4 linked regions of the Oreochromis niloticus genome follow. The protein of the gene in region 4 interacts with the protein of the main gene of each other region in a biochemical or structural test. Links are inferred from orthologs where the notes say so. Each region holds a gene or a part of one and is shown on either strand. Other genes may lie near its edges.

Region 1 (7,317 bases), on a different chromosome or scaffold from region 4:
TGGCTGCCAAGAGAGCTCAGTCTAGTTCAATCATTCTTAAACTATTTTAGAGCTGCTCAAAGATGTAAATTTACACAGCTTTCCAACAAACTTAAACATTTAAATTACTGATTTAACAACAGCCTACACATAGACACAATATATGCATTAGATCAAATCCAATGCACTGAGTTATTACCTTTGTTGTGGCAATGCTGTTGACAAAGCTGACTTGCTGGAAACCTTTCTCGCTCATGGTGAGGCAGACCTCCCAGCGCTCGTTGACAGTCTCATGGATGACAGTAAGAGGACCACCCAGTTCATCCACCTTGTCTTTCACATACATGTCCACATAGCTACGGAAACCTGTAACCTTAAGTGTGAAGTTCATACAGTTTATATCAGTTTAAATGCATTTTATCCTGAACAAATTAGGATGGAACATGTAAGATTTGTCTTGCTAACATCAAATATTTCATTAAATGAAGTTACTAGAAATATTTTTAGGTCAGGTAAGTGACTACTTTTGATAAGTACACAAAAAGCTTTGGATTTTAGGTTCAACTTTGTGAATTAAGTCTTCAGTCAACATTTGAAACACGCATAATATATTGAAAAGCTTAATGAAATTAGTTTCCAAAACATTAAGAGTTAACACTTAAAGATCACAGTAACTTACTGGTAGCTTCTTGCTATTAAAGAACACCCGGACACCCTTAGTGGCTCCAGCAATATCATAGGCCCTCCTGGTCATCAGAGCCACTGTGTCTTTGTCCAAGATGCTCATCTTAAACTTGGCCAGATCTGGTCTGAAGGTGATGCAAGTGTATTCCTCTCCATCAAACGGTTTGATGCTAGCCTCCCCTGCTCTGCCCATATTGTCATACCAAGTCTATGGGAAACATGGGCATAACAGAAAATGACATTCTCCCTGATCAAGACATAAAAATTAAAGTGGGAAATGAGATTGACCTTCCTTCATACCTGCTTGAAGCACTTCTTCGACTGTTTACAAGCAGTCTCGACAGTGAACTTTGTACTGAAGATGTTGCAAAGCTTGGCACCGTATCCATTTCGTCCACCTGAAGAACATTTATATAACATTTATAGAGTTAGGAACAGACTGAACATTAAATTTGTTTTTTTTTTTCCTAATAAAACGCTAAAATTTCACCATTAATTGTGTTGGACATAATGATGTAGAAAAGAGTCTTTGTAATTATACAGAATATCTTCTCATTAAGAATGACAGAAAACAATCAGTATTATCTAAAGCACTCAAATTCATCAATCTTACCAGTGACTTTCTTCTCGTCATCATCATAGTTACTTGAAGTGAGAAGCTGTCCAAAGATGAGAGCAGGTACATAAACTTTCTCCACTTTGTGCTCCACCACAGGAATACCCTTCCCATTATTCCATACACTGATGGTGTTGTTTTCACTAAAAGGAACAAAAACATACACAAGCGCTTGATTTGTCAGCTGGTAGCTGTAGTAGAGTTACTTTGTATTTTAATATCTTAAACTTGGTAGTGCACCGTTATACACAACTCACGGATCAATGTTGACCTTGATGCAGGACATGCTCTTATCTCTCTGCTTGTTATCAGCTGCATTTACTACGGAAAGAGAAAGTAAAATCTATTTTTACTACATTTTACTGGAGCAAAAACATTGTTTAATAAAGGTTTGTCATGGACATCTATAATTGCAAGAGCTTTTTACTTACCAAGGATCTCATCAAAAATCTTGTAGAGCCCAGGCACAAATGTCACATCACGGCAGTTCAGTCCAGCATCCTCATCAAACACCCACATTTGCTAATGAAAGAAGTTAAATAATCACAAGGAGCTTGCATGCGTTCATTTAATAAGAACCATAACTGTGCAGTCAAAACTCCCCCCCCAAAAAACCTGCTTTAAATCTACACATGACTGTTAAAGACATTTTAAAACTTCTTACCTGAGTGACAGGCTCTACAGAGCCTATGTAGGAGTCCGGTCTGAGCAAAATGTGCTCCAGCTGCGTCTTCTTCTGATAGATCCTCTCCACTGACAGCCGCTTAGGATCCTTCTTCAGCTTTTCCACCGGCTTGTTCTCAAAAAAGGCCTGATGAAAACGACACAAGGTTATCTTTTAAGATTCATAATTCAACACTCTTTATTGTCATTATGGATAACGAAAGCAATTCTCCCTCACATGGTGCAAAAAAAATAAATAAATGAAAAGCTTTAAATAATATCAATATACTGATATCTTTTATAGGCCTTGCACCGTAACGAAGATGGGACTTATCTTTGTACTGCAGGAAACCTTAATATAATGATCAACATCATCTATAATGCTACTTGCTGACAGTTTTGCATGCCTGCGGTTATATACGTCTTCAGTTTTACTGCACAAAAAACACAATGCAAATGTACGGGGGGGAGAAAACACCCCCCTGGAAGTTGCTTGGCTCTGATTACATTTGACGCTCAAGGACACAGGGTTTAGCTCAGTATTTAAGGACAGTTTTTATTTCAAACACAATAAATAATGCGAGGTGAATGAATGCAGGGGTAACACCATTTCAACTGGCTTAGCAGCATTAGCTATAGTTAATGCTTACAAGCTGCTGTGCCAAGAGTTAGGACTAGTTGTTAAGTTACTAAAAGGAACACTCTGCAAGTAGTGCATTATTACGTCTAAACAGCGGGCACTGTTACATTAAGCAGCTCACGACGTTAGCCAAGTGCCTTTAACTGTTTCTTAGAAGTTTAACTTACAGTTGTAGCAGGTTAGCACGTAAGCCTAATAACACGTTAGCAGCAAATATGAAAGCGACAGTAACGTTACCTTCAACGGTTCAGCCATTCTTCTTGTATTTAATGTTAAAGCCCTTCGTTTGAAATATAGTACACTCTAGGTTTGCAACAAGCTAAATAAATCCCAGCTACCCCCAATAATAACGGCTGCCTGCACTAAAACGTTCCTTCGCTGCCTGAGCTGAGGTCCCAGTTTGAATATTCGAAATTTTGTGGAAACATCTCCCGCCAGCTATATTGACCAATCATACTACTGAGCGCGTGACGAATTCCTCCAATGAGAGAAGCAAATCCGTTCTTTTTCAATTAAATAACCAATCGTAGACGGTAAAAGTGGCATGAGCCCACCCATCTCTTGTATCACAGCCAATCAGCTTTCAAAAAGAAGTAACCTACGTGCTGGGAATTCAAGTACAGACAGGAAAAGAGTTAGGAGGGAAACAAAATAGCCTGTTTCCTTGTTTTGGATAAAAAATATCCTGTCAGCTCTATTTTTATAGTGTCCAATGAAGAAATGTGACCTATATTTTATTATTACTATTTTGTTTTCAATGTTCTTGGATTTTTGTTCTACAAATACAAACGAAGCTTTTTCTCTCTGATGTTTTCACGTTTCTCGGTTTTTAAGGCTGACTGAGCAGTTCCAAACGTGAATCTTTACTTTTTATCAACTGTAATACAATGATAATAATAATAGTAACTATCATAACAATGCGCTTTCCAGAAACACACAATAAAGGAACAAACTAAGACGAAGTTATAAAGAAATTACAAATCAACTAAAATACCTCATCCTTTATGGCAAAACATTATTTAAAAAAATATACTAAAATAAATTTTTCAGTAGAGATGAAGACACTGATGAGGCAAGACAGATTTACTTAGGTAGGTCATTACACAACGAAGGACCCCTAATAGCATCAGTGATTTGAGGCTCCAAGAGAATAATGATGTAAGATGTAATCATATCAGATTGGACATAGAGTAAATACTATCAGTATGTCTCCTTCTGGGTCTGATTATATATTTTTATTCTGTTGCTGCATAATCCAATCCAATCAGAGGTCATATCTGAGGAGGGGAGCTTGAACATCTATGCTTATTTTATCTCATATACAGCATATTTCCCAGAACTCATGTATTCATCTAGATAACAGACAAAGTTTTACAGGTAAGAGATTCCTCTCACATAGGAAAAAAACATTCATACCAATTCAACTAAAAGAAAGATTTTCAAATGCATTACAGATGTGCACTGATTGTGGACTGGCTTGCTCATGCAACAAAAGCTCACTAATACTGAGATCCAGGGTCAGCAGGCTCAGCCCCCCACTGACGCTGGCAAAGGGCCCATAGCCTGATTGATGTCACTTTCCTTCCTCCAACTCCCCAACTGCAGAGAAAAAGAGGACATGATGTGAAGAAAAAGGGAAAAAAGGAAATGGATTTTGTTGTCTGGTGTTATGATTTTTGACACTTTTTGGTCACTTGGGATATAAAGCATGAGTGGCCTTTTAAATGTACAAAACTTGCCTTGCAAGAAAAGTGTTCTGTTTTTCTGGGACCATGGTGCTCACTTCTTTTTTCTTTTTACACTAGAGTGTACTGGATCTTTCACTTGATTTATCACCACCGCTGCCACTTTCTGTCCTTTGTCTCTCTTTTACTTGCATAAAATACAGGAACTGCTTAAAATCTGTCTAGTGCTCAATATCATATTTCTTCTTTTATATTGTTCCTTTCTGTCCTGGACTCTTCCTATGTAGCTGCACGATACCCCAACACTGTGTTTTTTAGTCATTTATCAGATAGACCTTCACTTTTTCCCAATCCTCTATTCTACTGGGATAAAAAGATTCATATGTGATGCTAAGAAAGCATTACTTCAGCAGCACAGTTTTATTCAGCTCTAAGCAACCATCTCTCTTCATATTTCTTGTCTTGTGGCTATCAGTCAATGGAAATGCAGTAACCTGATTTATCCAACCGTTCTACCATTCTTATCTGTCTTCCTCTGCTATGTTGCCCACTCATCTGACCTTAGCATGGTAATAATAGGGCGGAGGAGCTTGAGTAGAGCTGCCTCGGTCCGGTCGATGTAGTGGATTGCAAGTACACTAATACACCCACAGCTGCACACATGAATGAAGGAGCGAGCACACAGAACTGTTTATCTGATATTTTTTTGCTTGGTATTTTCAGCCAAAAAGATTGAGTTATCTCCTTTAAGAAATCTAAAAGAATGTGCCTGCTGCCCTCACACTTTCAATGCACACAGGGTTGGACATGGTAGCTTTAAAAAAGACTGTTTTTAAACAAGAAAACAGACAGTTTATGTGGTACCTTTACAATAAGGGTGCAGAATTTTGATCAGATCAACATATCACATTTGTTAAATGCATACAAAACAACATGCAAAAATAAACATTTGTGGCCTTCTAGGGATTTTTGTGTCTTTTGGACACTCAAACATTATTTATTACATTCCACATTATATATCTGGACTATTTCATCTATCTATCTATCTATCTATCTATCTATCTATCTATCTATCTATCTATCTATCTATCTATCTATCTATCTATCTATCTATCTATCTATCTATCTATCTATCTATCTATCTAATATCAAGAATATTTTCTTTAATGATTAATAGAATACATAAACCTTTGATTTTATATATTTCTGTTGCACTTTTTACTTTTAATGAGGACAAATAATTTTTTAACACTGTGTAAGTCTCACACAGACTTTCTCTTATCTAGCAGAAGTGGGCAGTTTGAAACAGGAATGCTAAGTACTTAGCATCCAAAAATAGTCACCCTGCAAAGTAGATGGACACTCTCAGTAGCTACCACCTGCCTTCCTGTTTATTTATTGATGGCTCTGTGTTTTCTGAAGCTTGACTGCTGGGGACGGTGGGAGAAAACGAAACTTGGAGTGTCACAGACGTGTTGATAGCTGTCTGAAGGAGATGCTTGATGTGGCTTGATGAACAGTGTCTTACAAGGAAAGGGCTCCTTTACGGATATTAGTGTGACAGGTAAAGAGCTGCTCCAACTGAGCACTTGACAAGCTTGTCAGAGCTTGTCCAGGAGAGCGTTTGGGGATTTGTGAAAGATGTGACAGCCAAGAGTGGAAAAAAAAGATAATTTTCTTTATTTTGGCTTTGCATCCATCATAGACCGCAAAAGATAAGCCAAAGATATTGGAGTTAATAATGACCCTGCACTGGAATCATTTTGATTGGTAGTGACTAGAATGGACAGGTTAGAAATGAGTAAATCAGAGGAACAGCTCAGGTCGAACAGACTAGAGAGAAAATAAGAGCGGCAGAGCTGAGATGGTTTGAACGTGTGCAGAGGAGGGATAGTCGATAAACTGGACAAAGGATGCCGAATATGGAGCTGCAAACCAGGAGGAAAAGAGGAAGACCACAGAGAAGATTCATTGCCTCTCTGAGCCTGGTTCTGCCGGAGATTTCTTCCTGTTAAAAGGGATTTTTCCTTCCTACTTTTACCAAGTGCTTGCTCATAGGGAGTCATGATTGTTGGGGTTTTCTCTGTATTATTGAATGAAAGTTGCTTGAGTTGACTTGTTGAGTTGGGTTGTTGTGATTTGGCACTATATAAAGAAAACTGAATCATGATGTGATTTGATACTGTGAACAATTAAAAAGTCTTGTTTATTTTATTAGAAATGGGGTTCATCAAGCATTGGGTATATGTACCAATTTTGTTGTCCACCACTGAACATAAAACTATCTGCTGCACTATAAAACTGTAATAACAAGTGTCTTAAAATTACTTACAGTATAATCATTTCTTATTTTCTGTAAAAACTTGACTTGCTACCCTAAGTATTTGCGGGTGAATATAATTACATCATAATTTCAGATTTTGGAAATTATGCCCTTAGCAGGCCCTTATATAAAGTGCTACCAAATGCTCTTTACGAGGAGTAAGTGTCAGGCAGTGGTTTCTGTTGGATTTTACTTATATTTGATTAAATTCCCCTCACAGTGTGTGTAATTATTTCCTGGCAAAGACTTTTCCCTGCGAGTAGCAGGATAAGAGAGAGCTCATAAAAAAATGATGACAATGAACTAAAATGAAAACAAAATTACAGCTTTAGGTCCACTGTGAATATTTTGGCTCAGTCAATTTCCAGGTGTGTGACAGATAAAACGACCGCCAGTGAATGGCTTAAGGTAGAAAACAAAATCTCAGTAGCTCAGGCCGTGCTGGATGTGAGGAAGAAGGAGCTGTTACTCAATATTTAAACCTTCAACACTTTTTATTAGAGACAACAGTGTTTAGGAAGGAAAATAACATCTTAGAGCAAACGTCTAACATTCACAGCATTAATATACAGATTTTTTTTCTCCTCTGGTTGCTTTCTGGGTCATGTTTTGACCAGCACATTTCCAGCTGTGTCCTTGGAGGTCCACAACATGACCTTTAAGGTGAACACCCCTCCCTGGCTGTCATTGTGAATACAGTGAGGGACTAAGAATTATTATTAGTTTG
Region 2 (7,264 bases), on a different chromosome or scaffold from region 4:
GTGACAGAACACAGAAGCAGCCAGATGACGTTTACTGGGATACAGTGCTGCTCAGATTCAGCCAAATTCAGTAAAGTTGATGGATAGTGCTTCACAGTAACAATCTCCAATGACCCAAGACATACTAAGAAAACTGGAGTTATTCATGTGGAATATTCTGTAATAACCAATTCATTCACCTGATGTCAACCCAATCAAGCTGTACTTCACTTGCTGTAGACAAAACTAAAGGCAGAAAGCCCTATGAACAAACAGGAACTCAATACAGCTGCAGCAAAGGCCATGACAGAGGAGGAAACTCCTTGTTTGGTGATGGTTCCAGATTTCAGGTGGTTTCTCCCTGCAAAGGATTCTCAAAGTATCAAACATGAAACCCATCTCTGGGATTATGTTCAATTTTCCACTTACATTTGAGCCAGAGAAAATGTGTCAGGCTTCTGTCACATTGTAAGGAAAGACTAGTCACCCATTGCTTTTGGGAGCCATGCATGCTCATACAATACCCTGCCTCTACCACATTTTACGTTGACAACACAGCTCTATGAAAGTTGAATTATTAAATTTGGTCAAATATTAAGGGACTCAACAGTATATTGGTGCTGAAATTAAAAATGTTTGACCTGATTTTCAAATAAAGTTTTTTAACTATCGTTTTCAATTCTCTTAGCACCATATGCAGCACGTGAGACACATGGTCGTGATGTGGAGTCAAGCAGTGCGCTCACATTAAGTTTCCAACTAATTCAGGAAATCGGCTGCAGGATAATTAACAAAGACTGACCCCATCCCATGTCTTTCCAAGATTTTTAAGCAGATTAGCAGAAAAAAAAAACAAAAACAAATTATTTCGCCAAATTTCTTCATAAAAACTAAAAAGTGACAAAATATATTCCCGCTACAAATTCTCACAGTCTGCTCTGATGCTTTCAAATGCCCCGTTTTGTCCAGCCAGGCTGCCATTTTGCTTTACAAATGACTAAAGTGATCTCATGCTTATTTAAATTGTACTTCTTCATTGCAAGTGTTTTCCAAGCAGAAAAAAGACGAAGAAAAAAATTTCAATATGCAAAAACGGGCTGCATATCTGTCCTATACTTTCTATCAAGGTACAAAGACTCTCTGATAACTGTATGCTTGGTAGAGAAATATAGGAGTTCACATTGTTAAAAGCCACTGCTGCAAACTCAGCAGAGTCATTATATCAGAGCTGTATATGTTTGCTGCTAATAAAGAGCTGCTCCACTGTAGAGCACTAGTGCCGAATAAGGAACACTTACTTGCTGTGACCATGTGACAGGAAGTACAAGGCAAAACAGAATGACATTCAAGATCAATACAATATGCTTGACTGTTCAAAAGAAGGATTGAATTCCAAGTCACTGACTTACTATAATTAGGTTCTTCCTTTAGAAGCTATAACCCAAGCTAACCTCTACAAACACAACTTGTGCTAAGGTAATAACATATGTCCGTAACCATGGTGTTAACTGGAGTCCAAATACTAGCCAGGAGACCCAAAGGCACCCATTCCCCATTTGCAAGACCTCCCAAAAGCAAAGCAAAGCTGTGCTGCAGATAGATGCTTCATGCTTTTCTGGCCTGATATTCCACCAACAGAGGAATCTATGTGCAAAGCAACTCAATAGTGCTCTGAGGGGGGGAAAAAATAGCCTGGTCTAGACTCAGTTCAGACTGCAATGCAGAGCTACGAGACAGCCTGCATTCACGTGGATGAGATGAAAACGAGGACCCAGCATTAATGAGCTCTGACATGCAACCTTGACTCCCAACGTCAACACCAGGTGGACGGAGAGGTGGGATGGCGCTGTGGCCGAGCCTGCCTCCATGCAACACACACACACCTCAACAAGACTAGCAGTTTAAATCAACGCCTGCGCCACATCACCACCTCACAGAGGTGCTCATCTACCTTTCCAACTGCATCAGTTTGCGCATGAAGCCACAGAAGTTGACATTTTTTTCCCCCCTCTCTCCCCCCAGCAGGTCACAAGGTGGAGATGTGAAAGCTGTTTGCGCCAGTATTTGTGCAGACAACAGCCGATTAATAAAATATTCAAATTAAACGCCTGGGATTATTATATAAGACTTATGTCACTGAGAAGTGATGCGTAATGCGCAGCCATCAGAGCATCCCCAAGCCAGCTGATGGGCTAAAAAAAAATCAAAAAAAAAAAAACCCCAAAATCAAATGGCCCATTCCGGTTACCTGAACGCAAAACTAAACCCTGCTATACATAGCTGAGGAGACCTCCTGTGAATTATTAGAAAACACCCAATGAAGGACAGGCTGTACGAAGCCTTCGGGGGCCGCCGGAGTCCCACTGGTCGTGCCCTTGATTATCAACACCGCTTGGAAGGACCACCACAGCACCAAATCCGGCCCATGCCCCCGGCTACAACGGTGACTATCACTCGACCCCGATCTAGCTTCCATTTCTCTTCCCCGGCATTGATATTTAACAAACTTGGCAATAAAAAGCAGGTCCAAAACTTTGATCAGTGAGAATAAACGGAACCAGCACTACCTGAGCTGCGCAGCTCTTCCATAAATAACCCGGGAAAAAGGAGAGGCTAGACTGGCTTCCAAGTTGGGGTCCAGGAGAAACGTGGTTCAGGGTGTTCCGTTCCGCTCCCTCCCCTGCCGCAAACAGCCATTGGATTAGCGGCAGATCGAGGGGAGGAGAGCAGACACAGACTGCGCCATTGTTAAAATACCAACAAAAATCATCGCAATTTACTCGCATAAAACAGATTAAAATAGAAGCAAATGTTTCTCAAGATAGGCTAATGCAGTGTGCCACTGACAAGCACAGTCCCCAACACCTAAAAAAAAAAGGGAAAAAAAACGTGTTTCCCCCCTTCCACAACCCCTGTTCTTGTCCAGATTATCTGCTCTATAGGCGCACACATGTCCGTGCCAGCGAAACAGACCCGGGTTTCGAATAAAAAACCCGATTTCTGCGATACCTGTGACGATGGGGGTTTTAATTGGAAAGTTACCCTACGCGGAGTCCACCCTGGCGCAATCACTGGCAAAATATACTCGGCAACCGCAAGGGGCGCCCTACTCTCATATATCACATGAACTGGCTTCATTTGTGTCATGCGGTGGTAAACAACAAGACCCAGAGAAATTCCCTTACCGTGTTTTAAGTGAGCATCCTGTGAGTTGCCTAAACTGTAACTAGGTATGAACCCATTACTATAACAACCGGAGCAATTCTGTCCCCACCCCCCACCACACACACACCTCCCTCCTCCCCAGCGGAAAACAGCACTGCCTGCCGTCCGCCATTAGCCAACTGAACAATACTGAAGACTAGAGGCGGCAGTAGCTACAGCACGCAGAGACGGAGAGGACCAAATCTGTTCAAATTAACTGTTTATTCATCCCTTAATGAGTCTTCACGCCCCAGTGTGAGTACCGAGAAACTCCCTGGGCATCCGGCTAACCCCCCCGCACAAGTTCCCGAAACTTTGGCCAATTAGGCGTAAAAGTAGAATACAAAAAACGGCTGTGAAATTCGCTTACCGGAGTAGAGCTCAAAACGGTGTAGCGCCACTTTTGTGCCTTGACATTAATCCGCGGAAGCGCGTGCGCACAAGTTTATATCCAAGATCATCTACTGAGCAGAGCACTCACTACGCGTCATCGGCACGTTCACTCACGTACAAAAACAGGATTTCTGAGAACTCATTTATGGTTTGTGTCTACCTGCAACATATCTATTCACTGTTCTCGGTGAGAGGGGATTCAGAGGAGTGGTTTTATTAAGTCAGTAATTGTTACTCTGTGGACTCATGATAAATGTGAGGGAGGGTATACAGCCAAATGTTGGCTATTATAATGCTGTTGTTTTTTGTTTGTTTTTTCATCTTTACTAAAGAATGTCCTTCCACCATAGTTAATTGTGATGTAGCAATAGGCTGTTTGGGGCATCCTTCAATTTTGAACAGAATATGTAAGCTGTTATGAAATGTAAACCTCAGGATGTTAACATACTTGAGGAAAGCAGTTTAAAACGGCCAAACGATTTTTTGTTTGGCACATTTTCAACACTGAAAATGGGCATAAACTGAAACTACAAGTAAACAATTGCTGGTAAAACCTCAAATAAGAGTATAAATTCCATAATCACCCCTTAGTTTTTGCCCCGCTGTTAACCTTCACAGCTAGCCGTTTATGTAATTATAAATCTTATATTTAATCGGCCTGAGTCTGTAATTTTCACTATTAACAGTTATTACGTATTAAGTTTTATAGTGATGTTAGTCTCCGATATCTAAAACACAGTTGAGCAGAAATTAACGGCTGAAATAAAAATGATACACCGCGAGCTCAAACTTCCTAAAAAAACCCCAAAACAACTACTTCCTCTTATTTTCATTGTAACCGGAAGTAAATACGGAGTGAGAGCTCTTTTAGGATTCACCCTCTTTTCTTTTCCTCCTGCGCAGGCGCAGGAGGTCCAATCAGTGGCTGCATTGGAAGCAATTAAAAATCCATTAAGATGCTCGCACCTTATCCTCGAAGGATATCATGTATCCCAGGTCAAGTGTGGCCAGTTCTGCTAGAAATGCACCTTAGTTATTCTTGATTTTTTTTTTTTTCGGGGGTCCCCTTTCTCAAAGCTTAAACAAGCCGCATTGAAGTACACAGCTCGGATCCAATCAGGAGCAAGGATCCGGGTTGAGAGAGTTCATGTTCTCAGCTGTGTCGGCTCAACATGGGTTTCCTCTCATAATTTCACCCAGAGACTCACCAGAAACCAAACGGCGGCGGGAAATTAATGACGCCCACCAGAGAGTGTTAGAAAAATGCCGCACACACCTTTACAAAGCAAAATTAAGCCCAAATCAAATGACACTACTTTAAGTAACTACTGATTATAGTAGGCAGATGTGCAAATTATTACATGTAAAGGTGGGTAATCTATAGTTTAGTAGTAATTTTGTTATTACTTTTTAAAAAAAAATCGGGGTGGCTCAAAGGTGGAATGAGCCGGTGATCACGTTTGTTAAATATGGCGGATCAGGTGCGTTCAAATGTCACACTGAAACGTGCAGATCAGATTCACTAAAGGGTCGGCTGCCCAAAGAGATCAAAGAGAAAAATTACAAAAGGACCGCCACCTCCTTACCCTCCTTACGCGCAGGCTATCTCTGAACTCACGAGATGAGGGGTAGAAATGGATGGAAGATACACGGATTTATTTCTAAGTCAGTTTGATGAGGCTGAGTGTCTGGTTGCCAGATCCTCTGTCTGTGCGCCGCTGCACAAAATGTCGGAGATTTCAGTTTCTCACAGGCGCAAATCACACTGAAATGATCTCTTTTTAAATACGATCCTCGATAAAGATCGAAGATGATGTGCCACACAGGCTTTGTGAACTCACAGTGTTTATGTAATCAGCCTCTCTGTAACTCACGCGGTTTTAATAAACAATTGTGCGTTTTTTTGTTGTTGTTTTTTTTTGCCCTGAGTTACACTGACCAACCAGCAGTTTATTACCACTAACACACAGAGGAAATGACGCTGACAACTTTGTTAGTGGTGTGATTGGAAACCATCGGTTTGGAAGTTAAACTTTGTTGTACAGTGTGAATACATGCTGCATTTTAGCTGTAGGATTTTATGTCTCTACTGCTCCACTACTTATGAACACATTTCGTAAAAACTGCATTAATTAACAACAACTGGTAGCAAACTCCCTCCTTAAAACATCTTTATTTTAAAAAGTGCAAATTTAAAAAAAAGCTCCATGTCTTTTTCCAGGGCTCTTGGCTTGAAATCTCTTTCATAAGCGTGCAGTGTTGTTGGTCCTTCCTTCTCATATGGATTCACTCAAATAGCTTCCCAGAGAAGTAAAATCCATCATGCTGCTGTGATACATGCTGCTGGTGGTTTGGCATGGTCTTGCTTAAAGATGCAAGACACTGTTTGAAACAGATGTTGGATATTTTGCTTTAAAGCATGTTCATATGATAGTGATGATCATGGGTGTACAAGTTATATGTGCAGTAATAAACCTCCTTGATTAGTGATCTTGGGTCCAGCCTGTGGTATTAGTGGATTTTTGTTTAAATGTTATTTTTTCCCCCCAGTTTGCACTGTGGGTTGGGGATGAACTGTGGTCAATGATGATCCTTTTCACAAGTGTAGCTGAGCCCCTGCTGTGATTTCTGCAACAGAATTAAGTCTGTTTTTAAACTGCTGCTCGAAAGCCTGCCTAGTTTTCCAAGAATTCTCTGACTGAGCAGTGAACCCCTCGCCATCATGACCTCTGAAACACTCAGCTTGACTAGTATGCTCTGTTTATACATGCCATCACCATCGATAACAGCGTATGTCCCCCCCTCGGCCAACGCGGATGCAGCCTGTGACTCTCTCCACTCTGTGGTCAGCAGACTGCAAACACAATCTCCGAGAGCCCTTCTCATAATATCAGGGGACTTCAATCATGCCTCACTGGACTCCACACTGCCCACCTTCACCCAGTATGTGACCTGCCCAACCAGAGACAATAAAACACTGGACTTACTGTATGCCAATGCTGAAGAGGCATACAGTTCATCACCTCTCCCTCCCCTAGGCAGATCTGATCACAACCTGGTGCACCTTGTCCCTGTGTATGAGCCCTTAGTGCGCAGGGAGCCACCAGCCACCCGCACAGTGCAGAGATGGTCGGAGGAGAGCGAGGAGGCTCTTAAGGATTGTTTTGAGTCGACTGTGTGGGAGGTGATCTGTGACGACCACGGTGAGGACATCGACAGCCTTACTACATGCATTACTGACTATATTAATTTCTGTGTGGATAACACCGTACCTACCAGGACTGTACGGTGTTTCTCCAACAACAAACCCTGGATTACTTCAGAAATTAAAGCTGTCCTCAAGCAGAAGAGGAGGGCCTTCAAATCCAGAGACAAAGAGGAGTTGAAAAGGGTGCAGAGAGAGCTTAGGGGACTGATAAGGAATGGGAAGGACAGCTACAGGCAGAAGATGGAGAACCAGCTTCAGCAAAACAATGTTGGTGAAGTCTGGAGAGGCCTCAGAACCATCTCAGGCCACAAACATCAGAACTCTCTGCCTGGGAGGGATGTGAGGTGGGCAAATGAACTGAATCATTTCTTCAACAGATTTGATTCAGCCATGAGGCAGTCTCCAACATCGGCTGCAGACTCACCCACCCCCACTGCTGCTGTTCCACCTCTGACACCTCAGACACTTCACACCTCCTCT
Region 3 (6,880 bases), on a different chromosome or scaffold from region 4:
TTACCAGCACAGAGTCATTGTTGGTAGTCAGGTCGACCACAGCAGCTTCTGCTCCACTCTCACAGGTGAGATCCACGACCACCTCCTCCTCACCTGAACACACACAACCACAAACTGTCGAGTGTCAAGATTCAACTATTCATCATTCTCAACGTTACCCGACATCAGTGACGTAACGCGGCTCCATCTTTACAATCAAAGTGTTTCATCTCCAAGTCTGGTGATTTTATCGATAACCAATAATCAGGTAAACAGATCGAGATAAACAGGCATGAACACTGTCAAACATCTGGATTCTCACAGCTGGTGGTTCTTTATACCCAAAGTGGCTCCATTTGGCGGTCCCCAGCATGAACGACTTTAAGGAGCAGAGAGGTCCCCCACACAGCTGTGACTGTCCCATTTTTGGTCACCTGTGTGTCAGACGTGTGGTCAAGTGTTAATCACACCTCTGATGAATTTTTAACCGTCAGGTGGATTTTGTTTCCTCTGGGCTGCAGGTGTGTCAGTGATCAGGACACACCAGGAAACCCACTGACTGTATTTTCAGGTGTGGGAGGTCACCTTCAGCAAACAGCTCAGGTATGTTTATTTCTCTTAGCAGTGAGGACCTGCTACTGACATCACTTCCGGTGAGGTCTGAACATGTTTTTCTCTTCAGTTTTACTTCAAAAAGAATGGTAAATGGCCTGTATTTGTATAGCGCTTTTCTAGTCCCTAAGGACCCCAAAGCGCTTTACACAACCAGTCATCCACCCATTCACACACTGATGATGGCAAGCTACATTGTAGCCACAGCCACCCTGGGGCACACTGACAGAGGCGAGGCTGCTGGACACTGGCGCCACCGGGCCCTCTGACCAGAAGCAGCTCTCTGATTGGCCGAGAGGTTGAGAGTGTGTCTAGATGAGTCAGGTCTGGTCTGAAAACACCTGTAGATGCAGGCCTATCAATGACTGTTCGATCAGTTGGAAACTGAGTGTACTGATCGGGACTGACCGTCCACCACGTCAATGGTCTCTGTTGGGGGGGTGGGATCACTGTCGGCGTTCGCCGTCCTCCTGGTACTCGCAGCTCTCCCGCTCTTGGCGTTGTGTCTAGAAACCGGGGGACTTTGTGTGCTCCGCCTCTTCCTCTGAACCTGAAAACAGAACAGCAGGAGGTGGAGCTTAACACACTTGACCAGGTAAACACCAGCTGACAGTGTGACAGCTGAACAGGTTAAACCACAGAAGAAGAAGAAGACTTACAGAGCTGCTCATCTCTGACTTAATGATTCACCTTCACGGCACAGGTGAGGATGGAGACCAGAGAAACAGCTCAGGTACCTGCACCTGTAACAGCTGGAGTGTTATCGATTGTCGGTTTTAGACATGAATCAGTCTGTTTTGATCCACCTGTGACAATACCCTCCAGCCAATCAGTAACAACCCTTGGTAATTCTTTTAATGAATCCATGCTGTGAGATTTAAAAAAATAAAACTAAATAAACATGGAAGAACAGAGTCCTACAGGTTTCATACACACCTCAGCCAGGTGTGTATGAATCCATCTGATCCTTGTTCATAGGGGAACAGGGATCTTGCTTCCTTTAGCATAGGAGACGCTGGAGCATCCTTTATGAAAGGGGAGGGAAAGAAAACATCTGACCACGCATGAAAACAAACATGACCAAAGTGGATCATGTAAATGTTCCTTCTGACTGCATTTTCCATTTCCTCCTTAACCCGCTGATAGATTTATAGTTTTTAACAGCAGCGATTAAACTCACAGCTGAGCATCACACTGCTGGAATAAAAACTACTTCCTGTTGAGGTAGTGTTGCACAAAGAACGCTGTACGAGCTAAAATTATGATCTATATGAACAAAGTGTGCTCAAGGTTCTGTATGATCAGTGGTTATTAGTGATGTCCTTTGTTATGGTACTGTAGGGTTTGTGTTTACTTCAGGTCAGCTGGGATCAGTGGTGATGGAGGAAATTTAATGCAGTCGCAGAATTCCTCAAACAAGAAGAGGAAAGGTGCTGCGACAGCCGCATCTGGATATTATATGCAATGGGACAGATTTACTCTGTGAGGTAGCAGAAGCAGCTGAATTAGTGACTCAAGGAGGGAGCGTGAAGGATGCTAACCAAAATAACCCAGTGCAAACTCAGGTTTTACTCATTTTTTTTCTCTAAAAACAGCGATGCAATTTGGATAAAAGAGATCTGGGTGAAAGAAAATCAATCTGTAGTCCATGTTCTGCAGTGTCACGCTGTTAAAAGAAACGAGTGTGAGGCCGTTCCTTTCCTCAGCGTACGTCTCCTAACCACCTTTCCTTTACCTCAATGATGCTTCCACCGAGGGCAAGTAAAAGAGGTTAGGAAAAGGAAACAGGAGGGACCTTTGAAACTCGCACCTTTTCTCCGTACCAGAAGCTGCTTCGTCTCTGTTCAGAAAGTCAAGAATTTCTAATCTGAGCCTGATACATAAAACCAGGACCAGCTAAACTCGTGGAGCTGCAGGGGGATCACACTAAGAGGTCACCAGGAGCCGAAAGAAACGCTTCTGGTGACCCAGAGTGACCCTGCTGTCACTGATAATGATGATGATGATGATGGAGTTTTACCTTTACAAGAATTAGAAACACGGCCTGGCTCTTCAGGATTTAAACAGTAGATTCAGACACACCGATACTTTAAACGTGACATGTGTACGGTTGAGCTTAAACTTTACTTACTGTTAGCAATAAACTGTTAGCTTCCGCTGTCACCGTCACTGCTCCTCTTAGCAGTTCACTTTTAGCCGTTAGCACCTCTCTCTTCGTCACTGTGGCTCCTACCGTTAGCGTGAAGCTCGCGTGCGTGTCAGCGACAGATTTCCGGCCTCAAACATTTTAGTAGAGTAAAAAAATAATTAAGTCGAATAAACACACTGTGGAGGCTTACGTTAGCTACTGTCCGTCTCACAGCCGCTTCTTTTGTACCGGAAGTGTTCATAAACGCCGGCTCATTGGCGCCCCCTGCTGCCTCACTGCGTGCATCGCAGCGTCCACTGATTGAAGGGAAGACCTTTTTGTGTCTTTATGGTTTTGTTTACAGTTTATTTTATGTACTCAGACTGAACTACCTGACATGTACTTCGAAGTACTCCAGTAAAAGTACAGTTACTGTGTGGTTACTGCAGGCAAAAAAGGCTATAAAAACACAGGACATTCAAATGAAATTGTTTAAATAACTCTGAGTCAGTCGCTGAAATCAAACTATATTCACGTCAAAGTTACATTGGATTGGATTAGTAACACCTGAAAGGAGAACCTGACCTGGGACATTGAACTTGTTTTATTTTAAACATGACTGTATTTATTTTGTTTGTAGTTACTGATGAGGATACTAAAACTCAGAGACACATGGAACCTTTCCACTGTGTCAAGCCTGACCCGCTCAGTCTACCTGCACCATTGAAACTCAGATGTAGGAAAATCCAGACCCTCCACAAAGAGCCTGGAGATGAACCTTCACATTTCAGATGATTCATGTCTCCAAACAGGAAGTGATGATGAGCTCACATCATCACCACATACCCGCTCCACCTTTGTGGCCTCTTTGGATTCAGTGCAGAAATTACCTCATTTCACCGCTTTTAATGTCATCTGATAAAACAGGAGGTGACAGAAAAGAAGCATTTGTGGAGTTTGTTGCTCTGAGTGGACTCAGTAACACTGTGATGGAAACAGCGTCCATGAGACGGATCATAATCCCATCCACAAACTAAACTCACTTCACCCCACTGATGTCGGCATGTTTCAGCAGGTCACATAAATGAGAACAGGTGAAACTGTCCTCATTAGAAATATCTGAGCGTTATGCTATGAATTCTGGGATGTCATGGCTGCTTCTCTGGTCATAAATGAGCCACACTGAAAACATGCTGTGAATAAAAGACTCGATCTGCATGCACAAACAGGCAGGAAACAGGAAACAGACCTGAACATTTTATTATTTTCACAATAAAAGCTTCACATAAACAGCCATCTACTTCCTGTCTACACGCTAATTAGCACAAAGCTGCCAGCAGTGCTTTCTGGTATTGTAGTGCTGAAGGTGAGCCGGTGCAGAGGGAGTGCTCAGTTCATGGCGAGGAACATCCAGCCGGGCCCTTCAGAATCTGTTTTAAGGCCCGCCCTTCATGAACGCCATCAGGAGAACGCCTAGCAAGCCAGAGCACCTGGACACAGAACAGGTAATGAGAGAGAGACACACCTGAATACAGCACAGCTGAGACCCTCTCACAAAACATACTCCCTGAAGCACTTAAAGAAATGTTTGTCTGTAAATCAAACTCTGGCCCCGCCTCTGCCTCACCTGTCTCGGTGTCACACCCGTCTCATCAGGATGACTGGACCGAATTTTTGTTCCTCTTAAATTGACTAAATTCAGTCTTTGGGGTCACAGGTGAGTCTGTACCTGTCAGGCGTTTCTCCATGCATCAGTACGAGGAAAATCTAACAGATAGGTGAAGCTGATAATCTGATCGCACCTGCCGAGTTCACACAAACTTCCTGTGAGTCTCGTCACTTTGCGCAGTTAACTTGATGTGCATTCACCTGCAGCTCTAAGTGGAGGTGAAGGTCATGTGATCCACCTGGTTCATCTTCATGTGGTTGTCGAGGATCTGAAACATTTCCTGGATGTTCGGGACGTAACCAGACTGAAGCTTCGACCACAGGGGCACATCTGAGGGGAGGACAGAAAGCGTTACACCAGGAAATGAGGTCACAGGAATGTCCCTACCTGATCTCCACAAGGAAATCTGGGTGTGTTTGTACAGTTCAAAAATGACCCCTCACCTCCTGTTTAGGAGAAGGTAACTCAGACTCGTATGGTGAAACTACAACATCCAGAGGCGGGCCGCACCTCTTACCTCCCCTCGTGTTCTGAGCTCGTCGTCATCCACAGTTTTAAAGAGGCGGGCGGCAACGATTCATCGAGTAACTCCAATTATAACTTTCTTATTTAAAAAAAAATCCTCGATTCTTCATTTAACGGACGGCACTTTAATAACAACAACAACATACTTCTGATCTGGTGTCTCTCGTATCACGTCACTGTACACACACTTAATAACAAAATAAATACATCAATCTGCACACCTTCATCATTTTGATTCTTGAGTTTATTCGAATATTTTTAATGGGCGGGAATTGCACAGCAATAAGCATTTCGCCGTATGTCACACAGTGCATGATATGTGACCAATAAACTTTGACTACAGACTACAACAGAAGTGTATCTATGAGCAGTGTGTGAATAATCAACTGTGTTAAACCGAAAACACTGATAACGGCAGCAGCGATGATGACGCTGGCACAGTTTAACATGGAGGCGGAGTCTGTTTATACAACGTGAAGAGTAAAGAGGCAGAGGCGTTACCGACACGGTGAGCTCAGGTGAGAAGAAAGAAAGCACAGCCTCCGAAACAGCAGCGCTGTTCCTGAAGTCACCATTGAAACCTGGAAACAGCTGATCAATGGAGAACAGCAAACTTTGTAGCTGCTCCACCCATCGCCGTTTATTTTACAGAAAAATCTGCAGTAAAGCTGCAGAAGTAAGGCTACATCAAAATATGCAGATGAACTGTTAACTGAGTCTGATATAATGTTTAATTTATAGAGCTCGCTGAAGGCTGACGGCGGCCGGCCCACTCTCCGTCCCAGTGATCCCTACAGGGCTGAGTCTAAAGGGGGGCATAGAGTGTCCTACACCAGTGGTCCCCAACCTTTTTTGCGTCACGGACCGGTTTATGCCCAACAATATTTTCACGGACCGACCTTTAAGGTGTCGCGGATAAATACAACAAAATAAAACTAGTACAGGTACTGAAAAAAAGAAGATTTATTCATAACACACGTAAAAACGATAACAAAATAACGCTGAAAACCGATAAAAACCCTGAAAACCACACATTTCACACCTGAGCCTCAACTCTCGCTGCCCGGTACCAAACGACTCACGAACCGGTACCGGTCCAAGGCCCGGGGGTTGGGGAGCGCTGTCAAACACCATATTTACCTCCAGGCTTTGTAACATTGTTTTTCAGATTTCAAGTGGAATAAAACTATATTGAACAACACGCAATGTGCCTCCTCGTATCGGTCTGAGCTCACCGCTTTTGGACAGACACCGTAAAACCTGATCGCACACTCGATTATTCTGGTTTACAGGCCTTCATCACTCTCTGAGCTAATACTTCAGCTCATTCATGAACCTTCTGTTCCTGTGTGGAATCTTAATTTGCTTAAGATTCCACACAGGAACAGATCTCTCCTTTCCCAATAAAAGTCCTTTACATAAATATAAAAGGTGTTTGCTGTTTTATTATATTTACTGTACAAACTACAACTTGATGTTTAATTACTGCTTACAGTGTGAAAATATCTTGGTTTACTATATTATTATTTATACACACACCCCAGTTTTTCCAGTTATTTATCAAAATTCATCTGTTTCAAGTCCAGTGAATAGGTTGAAATGGTACAAAGGTAAGTGGTAAACTGCCATAGGTTAATAAAAAAAAAAAAAAAAAGGTTACCCAAGATGAAAATTAATGTACACATCAGAATTATACAAAAAGGCCTTTTTCCAGGGAGCACAACATGAGTTAACAATGTAAAGCTGCAGGAATGGAGGTTGATCAGCCTTGAAAGTTGGTGCTACTAATTCCTACAGGTGTTCCAACTTGTCTGGATTACTTCCCCCTCTGTCTGCATGAAGCAGTGTTGGAGCACACGGTGGTACCATACCCTCATGGGCAACAGCTGAACAGTACTGTACTGCAGAAAGCAGTGTGTTGATACAAACATGGCGAGAATAACAGTGGAAGTAGGGCTGTTCGATAT
Region 4 (8,014 bases):
CAAGGGTAGGGCGAGTGAAACAGAGATCTGAGTATGTTGAACTTGCTTTGGAGTACAAGGTCTTGGTTGCTGTGTCTTTATATGGTTGGCAGTCTTAGTAGAGCAGCTGTGTGAAACACCAATTTATGTGTGGAGACATGGGCGGCTTTAATTTTTGTGTCCACAGCAGTTATGTGAATAACTATACTTAATGTATCAGAGTATTGTTTCTTACCTGATTTATCACCCAGTGTTTGACATAATGTTTTCCTTTAAACATCATAGTAAAAAAAGATTATGTTCTGCACTGACATAAAGGGGTACTGCAGATGCAACAAGGAGTTAGATCTGTTCATAATGGCTCTGTGCTTTTGAGTAAACCTCTATGCTTTTTCTGTATACAACAGTAAATATTATAATCTCTTTCTTGTTTTAGTTGTAGTACAGTTGTAATGCAGAATTATTGCTTCTTTGAGTTCATGAAAGTAAATGGTATATGCTGGAAACATATCAGCTGAAATGCAATCTCGGGACTGCAAAAACAAACAAAAAACCTAAACCAAACCAAAACAAACAAGGATCATGTTGGCCTGACCTATATTAGCTATGTGGTAATCCATGACTTTACTGGAATGCCCCAAACAGCTGACTGGTTTGTGGATTTTGAGTACTGTAACATAATGCATTGAGTTCACATGTAACAACTAATATGAGATGTAAGAGCCAAAGTAGCAAGACTATGAGGGCCAAGGTTTATTCAGCCGTAGTTCACAATAACGAAAAGTGATTCCAAAAGTGCACAAGAACAAGAGCATGTAGACTTACCTGAGAAGGTGTGTCTGTTTCATTGATGGGCTGACCGTCAAATCGAAATCGTATTTGCCTCATTGACAGCCCCTGAGTGGAAAAACAAAATGTTTACTTTTAAACTTCACAAGGTATTTTTGTGACCTCGGGTTTAAAACACCGACTGTGAATTGCAATGACTCCTGTTTCAGGAAAACCATCTTTCCCTACTGACTGCTTAACCAAAAAACCCCTTCAAAATTTGATGGAAATAAAAAGGGTGGGACAAAAGGAAATTATGTGGTTAAACTTGCTCCAAGACCATTAGAACCGTAACAGACTGTCTAAAATTAAATACAATATATTACAAAGTTACATACATGAGAAATAGCTCTAACGTATACAAATAACACAATTTATAAACATCCAGAATATTGTAAAGATTAAATATATATGATTGACATTTTAGTTTTAACTGCAAAACTTTGTTATTTTCACTATAGCAGATGTGCAAAATGGTGTAACTGTCTCAGTGTGTGCTGCGCATTAGATGGGGAGGACTGATGTTGCACACCTAATATGTCTACAGTAGAACTGAGGTGTTTTTAAGACTCTTAACTTCCAGATAAATTTAAGGTTGTGTGGATTCCGCCAAACTTTTCCGGGTACCATGTGAGTAATGACAAAATGAAAACAAAGATTTGCTTCTTTAGGGTCAAACCAAAAACTCTGGATATAGTTAAAGCAAAAAAAGCCTTGTTACCATAGTTAACAGATGTTTGCATTACCCTTCTATTTTAGGCCATCTGATATACAGAAACATATTCTAAGCATAAGTAAATTAAGCAAATTAAATTTTTTTGGAAGGTTTACCTTGTTGGATGTCCAAATATACCCCCCTCCCCCCCCACCCCATTTCTGATTTGGCAAGAACCATGTATTTTTAAATGTCAATTTCGTGGTCTCTTGCTTATGAATGATCAATTTCAGATGACCAGCAATACACTTAAAGATACTTCTAAAAAAAGTTACAATTGTGTCCCAGTCTCACCTGCCGTTCACAATAAGCTTTCATCAGTTTGCTGAGAGGAGTGTGCCTTTTGATCTTAAACTGCACCACTGAGCCATCCTGTCCTGCCACCTTCAGGTTGATGTGCTCGTTGTTCTCCGTCTTTACTCCCTCCTAAGACAGAAAACAAGTTCATAGAAAGTCACACTATTTAGAAAAAAGGGGGAGGTGTGACGATTTACAAGAAACTGCGCCCGCCATTACAAATTCCGAGTCATAGGTGTTTTGCATATCTCAGCGATACCTCATTGTCTTCAAACAAAAGTTAAGTTCACAATATGTGCGTGGATTTACGTTTTTTGCTTGTTTGTTTTATCCTCCGCGACAACTGCCTGCCTGATGTGCGTAGAGCTGAAGACTAGCGTGGGTACCGAGAGCAATGAGGACTGGATTTACAACTTCAACGTTAGCATTAGCTGTAGGCAACTCAAGCAACAATGGCCTTCAATACAACAAGATGCACTGCGGCCTAGCAAAGATTCAAATTATTCCACTTGTGCTATTAACAAAACCCTTATCTCTTTACCCAGGCTTATGGCTGGCGAGTCAGTACAACGGAACCCTTTATTTACAATCTAAGATTCGTTTGCACATTACGACTTTTGCTCAAAAGGTTCCTTTTTGTACCGTTTATGTTGCTCTGTTCAGTCTCAGCGTTAACTCACTTTTCTTGAACTGGTGCTTAATCTAGTCGGGTATGGGATAACTAGATTATTTCCCATTACATGTGCATTAGTCATACAGATGGCAAAATTTTAAAGGTGCCGATTAAAAATTATTTTACAGAAAATATTGATATTTTCTTTATTTCACCAATGGATCGGGTCGGTTAGCCACGTTAGCTTATTATGCTAACTTAACCCGCTAGCTTCCTAACAAACACCGTAAAGTTAGCGCATGTTTGAAGCGGTTTTTGGAGTTATACGATTCGAAGTAATTGTACGAACTGCTTTCCATCAGTTTACCGTGTACATTCAACTTTGTATGGGCTCTGATGCATTTAAAGTCCAATCCTCACCTTGGGCTTTCCATCTGCCATGGCTGCTGCTGCTGCTGAGGACTGTCTGCCTGCGTCTCGCCTGTTCTGCTACTGCTGCGACTGCGCAGTCTAGCGCGCCACTTTGCGTCGGCTGCAGTGAGCGAAGAGCCCGCGTTTGACTTAACAGCAATATAGTTCATGGCTCCAGTATCGTCAAGTTAATAACAATTATTAAGCGAAGTTTAGATACATATAATCTGGGAGTAGAGGCACTGTATCTGTAGTTCGTACTTACCATCTGGCATTGCAAAATGAATAAATGCACATCAAGGACGTTGTTTGGTTATATTAATGCACTTCACATACAGCAAACAACAACATGAGGTACATAAAATCCATTTCAGGGAGCATATGACTATTATTTTTATCAGGTCCTGAGATAGGTTAACGATTGGCAGAAACATTGATTTTCATGCATTCTTATTTTTTCTACAGTGTATATTCTAGGTCCCAATGAAAAAAAATGCAACTTCCCACAAACGGCTGTAAAAATATTATCTAGTATTATGTTGAGTTGAACTGATTAATTTGTTGACCTGTAAACACCATCTGTAATGAGCATCCCTATATAAGGCTGCTGTTCCTCTGTGTCCATATACACCACTGAGTGTTTCCCAGGGCCACAACTTAGAATCAGCAGCGGTGCATAGCTGGTGGCATGGTGTGCAGGTCCCAGGTTCAAACTCGTAGACCGTTGCGGTGTTAGTGGGAGATAAACATTTGGGGAATACAAAAATATGGAGATGGACAAGTCAATCATGTCAGTGCTTCAACCATATCCAAAATGATTGCAATTGCAGGAGTAGTCATTCTGGATATACAATATTCAAAATGCAATACATTTACTCTTATTGAATTAAAAGGCCACACCCTGCATTATAAACTAAGAGAAAAGACTTGAAGGGGGATCTCTCTCTCTCTCTCTCTCACATACGATTATCCAACAACATTTATTTCAGTAGCAAAGCACCCTTGCAGAAAAAAGAAGAGTGACATTTTGCCACTTGCTTTGAATGGGAAAAAGCAGTACCATCTGGTGGGGAAATATAAAAATAAAAAACTGAGGCGAGTACTCCAAAATCAAACCTTAACATAAAGGAATGAATTAGTTAATGTCAAAATAAATGTAGGATCAAAAGTTGTATTTTCAATTACTTTGAATGGGGGAAAATGTGGCCCGTTAGAGTACCTTAGACATTTTAAGTTAATTTAAGGAACTGAGATAACAATTCTAAAATGAAAATACATTCAGTTGCATTTACACCGATTTTGAACACTAAAAAAAACAACAACAACAACAACAAAAAACCCAAAACAAAAACAAAGTCATGTTAAAATGTTAAAAGGTTTAACATAAATAAAATCCATCCCAGGCTTTATTCATCCATGCACAGAAGTAGTTGTTCAAAAAATGCAATGACAAGTTAATTTAACAATATGACAAATAAATAAACTTATAAGAAATATGTAGAGAACCTCCAGCACATGTAACTCCAAAAAGATAAAGACAAAGAGGTCACAATTCTGTATGAACACATGGTAAGTTACCCAAGGGTTAGGCCTTGACCTATGGCTGCCGTTTCTTCCAACATGAATTAAATTTCCTCGTTAAGCCCATCTCTAGTTTGCTAAATAATGTAACGTTTATAACAAGTCTGTATGACTATTTGGTAACATTACAGACTCTGAAAATCACACTAACCTTTTCATCTATTAATACAATACTCAAAGTATCTATTAATAAGGGGAATGCAGGATACAGCTGACAGCTGCATCACCACACATTTCGTTAGGAGTTGTGATATCTTCCTCACTAACCAAAATAAATACATTCATGACAATAAATACTGCAATGCTAAAAAATATTAGTGCTGAATATAACAGGCTGAGCTGTGATTTCCTGTAAAACCCAGAAGAAAGGTATTCAGTTGTAGTTTTGAGCCACACTGGAAGCGACCGATTTCCAGTCAGCCAATATTGGAGTGATTTTTGAGCAAAAGAGGGGCTCTTGTTTGCTTTGGCCTGACGTCTCAACTCTAAAAATCTTACACAGTCATCAAGAAATCATGTGAAACTCAAATTGCGATCACATGTTCATACAACCACAGTTTCACAATCATTTTAACCTCTAATGCAAGACTGCCTTGTTTCCAAAAGTGCAACTATTCTCCAATAAAACAGAGACACAAATAAGAACATTAAAATTATATCAAAGGGGTACTAAAAAAAATGAAAGCACAACAATATTTAAAATTCACCAAACAACTACCATCAGCATTCAAACAGTTCATTTTGTTAGTTACTGCATCACACTGACTACCTCTGGTATCGTAATAAAATTAGCGCTGTATTTGTGCTACATCAGCAGACCATCTTCAACTCTCTGAAATCCAACAAAGTTTATCATATACTCAAACTCTGCCTGAAAGCTTTAATATTTTGCTTTCTTTTGACCACAGCAGAGCAAATCGATCAAGTAGTCTTACAGCAATCAGCCTACAGAGCTATAGAGCTCCCCATTTATCAACAGGTGGAAAATCATTCACCTCCCCCACTTCTGTGAATGGCTGCTCTCCCAGGGTGAATATCAATTTATATCTCATCCGGACCTTTTCCTGCAAGACATAAAAGCAGAATGTTTCAGTTAAGGACCGCACTGAGCCATTAACCATTATATTCTCATATTGATTGACAAGGAAGACAGTAAAAAGATGTTTCACCGTTCTTTACTGAATGAACAGCTCAACTGAGTAAGCGCTCTGTCAATAAATAAATGCTTAAATGCACAAACACAAGAAAAGCTCAAGGCTGAGCTTTACCTTGAGAGGATTGGCAAGCAGCATGATCTGAGTGATGGCAGCAGGGGGAAGTATTGGGTTAAAAGAGGCCAGCTCTGTACCCGAGGGTGGCTGCAGTTTTACTTTCATCGTCTGGAAAATTGGCAGAAGAGACATCCACATACATCAAACAGAAGCTGCATCCCACTTAAATTCGATTTTTTCTCAAAAATCTAATCTCATGATGCAGGAACAGTGTTACGTATGCACGTCATGTTTTACCCTGGGCACAGCAGCCTGCAGAACAATGTTCTTGACCGGCTGAGTGGCTGTGTTAAGCATGGACGCCACCATCACCAGCACATCCGGCCTGCCTGGTGGAGAGTCGGTGGCGAAATGCAGCAGAACACGAACACCATTTTTATCATAAGCTGTCACTGGGCACACTTTACCTAAAAGTGTAGGTAGCGCAAAGAAAAAGAATAAACTGAGATTACTTCATAAACTGATAAGGCAGTACACACGACCCTCAACACAGTCATTTGAGTCAGCTAGAAGAAGTTTCTGCTTTCATGCACATCGTTCCTTTCGTGCGTGCTGCAATGCTTAATTTCAGACCACAATAAGAAGATAAAATCCATCTTATTTCCAGTATTAATATGTTTTTCACTGTCAATTTGTTATTCAATTTTTCACTGTCACCAGTAATGATCAGTAATGATGAAATGTTCATTTTCCCATCTAACAATTATGTTTCGACAAAAAACACCTGGAGGTCAGTGAACCATCTGCAGTACACAGGCACGAATGCTTTCCCAAAATCTCTCAGGTGATTATTCTCTCTACAGAATTTGCTATCAAAGTAGACAGATGGTCAAACAGCAGCCAACATTTTAAATTACTGGTTGGAAAAACAAAAATGTCCTAATAAAAACAAAATACATGTTCACATTTTGAGAACATAAAGCTCTTTTTGAACAGCTTTTACACTGGTCCTTTTCAGTGAAAAATCTACTTTAGAAATATATATTTCCAATAGGTTTTAAGGACTAAAAATAGTGTTAAGTGCTTAATAGAGTAAACACCATTTTTCCATCACTGAAAACCTCCAGAAAGACATCAGATGATCTGATTTGACCTCAAATTTATCTTGTCAGGGACCCTGAGCATACACTCCAACAGGCTACAAAAACCTTCACTTAGAGATAAACATATAGTCAGTAAAGCCCACTTGGTGAACTCACTTGGCTTGATGGTATCAAGAGGGACAAATACATTGGCCAGGGACACCTCTTGTCCTCTACCTGGACTCGACTGGCTCAGGGGTAGAACAGGGGACAGAGAGCGCAACAGAGGGCTGTCATCTGCCTGACTCTTGATAGACAGAGGAGCAGACCATGCATGTATTCCTTCTGATATAATTGGGGTGGATGTGGCTTCAAGACTGAAAGACAAAGCGCAAAGAAAATGTTTGGAAAAAACACACATTTTTTGTAATTTTGCCTCTGTACACCACCACAGTGGATTTTAACATTCAACAATCAAAATGTGATTTAAGTGCAGACTGATAGATTGGATTTGGTGAGTTTAACAGAAGTACTACAATTTATACAAAGCCCCCTATTTTCAGAGACTCAACTGTAATTGGACAAGTGACTAACAAGTAGTTTCCTGGCCAGATTAAGTCTGTCTCCTCATTTTTTCAATGCAAATTAAACACAAAGATCTGAAGCGCTGAACTATGTATAAAAATGAGTGAAAATCCTAAACAGTTTCCGCCATGCTTTTATTAAATCTCTTAAATTAAAAGCTGAAAGTTGGCACTTCACTGATTTAAAATACAATACGACAGTGTGCAGAAACTGTGTCAGTGTCTAAGTATTATACTACTTATGGACCCATATGTATAAAACAACATGTAGTAAATGTTTGGCACAGACGAGATCATAAATATTTATCCTCTACTTGGGAAATTCTTTTGTTACATCAGTTGAAGTAATGACTATCATTATTTGGCACATGTGTACAGCATGTGGTATGAAAGACTTTCTCTGCCTTATTGAACTGAACTAGCCTGTTAGAGAACAAAAAACACACAACACTGTTCCTATAACACTTCCGCTTGAAACACTTCTGGAAATGCTGGGGTAAATAATCAATAGTGGAATCCAAAAGCATTTGACTTCACAGTAACACAAACACATTTGAACCATTAGCAGGTAATCAGTTAGCACAGCTACATGAAAATAATCCATCTCAATCTTTGTCTTATCTCAGTTGACGCAAAATACAAAGTACTCTAATGACTTAAAATTTAATTTGTATCATATGGAAAAACGATAAAAAAAAAAAAAAGTGTCTGTC

The links.
Region 1: the proteins of small ubiquitin-related modifier 2 (region 4) and top2a form a complex in vitro, tested with the Homo sapiens proteins (2 studies listed by BioGRID). The link is inferred for Oreochromis niloticus from reciprocal best matches to the Homo sapiens genes SUMO2 and TOP2A.
Region 2: the proteins of small ubiquitin-related modifier 2 (region 4) and zmym2 form a complex in vitro, tested with the Homo sapiens proteins (4 studies listed by BioGRID). The link is inferred for Oreochromis niloticus from reciprocal best matches to the Homo sapiens genes SUMO2 and ZMYM2.
Region 3: the proteins of small ubiquitin-related modifier 2 (region 4) and rnf4 form a complex in vitro, tested with the Homo sapiens proteins (15 studies listed by BioGRID, with this or other methods). The link is inferred for Oreochromis niloticus from reciprocal best matches to the Homo sapiens genes SUMO2 and RNF4.

What each region holds. Positions count from the first base shown.
Region 1 is NC_031973.2:19,732,894-19,740,210, reverse strand, and holds the start of top2a (DNA topoisomerase 2-alpha), read right to left. Parts: upstream 3,009-7,317; 5' UTR 2,838-3,008; coding exon 2,820-2,837; intron 2,091-2,819; coding exon 1,944-2,090; intron 1,802-1,943; coding exon 1,711-1,801; intron 1,601-1,710; coding exon 1,537-1,600; intron 1,423-1,536; coding exon 1,277-1,422; intron 1,062-1,276; coding exon 964-1,061; intron 872-963; coding exon 659-871; intron 353-658; coding exon 179-352; intron 1-178. UniProt on the Homo sapiens protein: Key decatenating enzyme that alters DNA topology by binding to two double-stranded DNA molecules, generating a double-stranded break in one of the strands, passing the intact strand through the broken strand, and religating the broken strand.
Region 2 is NC_031987.2:27,445,712-27,452,975, reverse strand, and holds the start of zmym2 (zinc finger MYM-type protein 2), read right to left. Parts: upstream 3,020-7,264; 5' UTR 2,766-3,019; coding exon 2,547-2,765; intron 1-2,546. UniProt on the Homo sapiens protein: Involved in the negative regulation of transcription.
Region 3 is NC_031966.2:36,323,740-36,330,619, forward strand, and holds the start of rnf4 (E3 ubiquitin-protein ligase RNF4), read right to left. Parts: upstream 3,003-6,880; 5' UTR 2,723-3,002; intron 1,617-2,722; exon of another isoform or gene 1,528-1,616; intron 1,344-1,527; 5' UTR 1,263-1,343; coding exon 1,251-1,262; intron 1,142-1,250; coding exon 1,000-1,141; intron 94-999; coding exon 5-93; intron 1-4. UniProt on the Homo sapiens protein: E3 ubiquitin-protein ligase which binds polysumoylated chains covalently attached to proteins and mediates 'Lys-6'-, 'Lys-11'-, 'Lys-48'- and 'Lys-63'-linked polyubiquitination of those substrates and their subsequent targeting to the proteasome for degradation.
Region 4 is NC_031971.2:26,017,965-26,025,978, forward strand, and holds the start of small ubiquitin-related modifier 2, read right to left. Parts: upstream 3,012-8,014; 5' UTR 2,874-3,011; coding exon 2,853-2,873; intron 1,949-2,852; coding exon 1,817-1,948; intron 877-1,816; coding exon 805-876; intron 1-804. Other genes in the region: ADP-ribosylation factor-binding protein GGA3a, read right to left, coding at 5,378-5,488, 5,693-5,803, 5,933-6,102, 6,895-7,094. UniProt on the Homo sapiens protein: Ubiquitin-like protein that can be covalently attached to proteins as a monomer or as a lysine-linked polymer.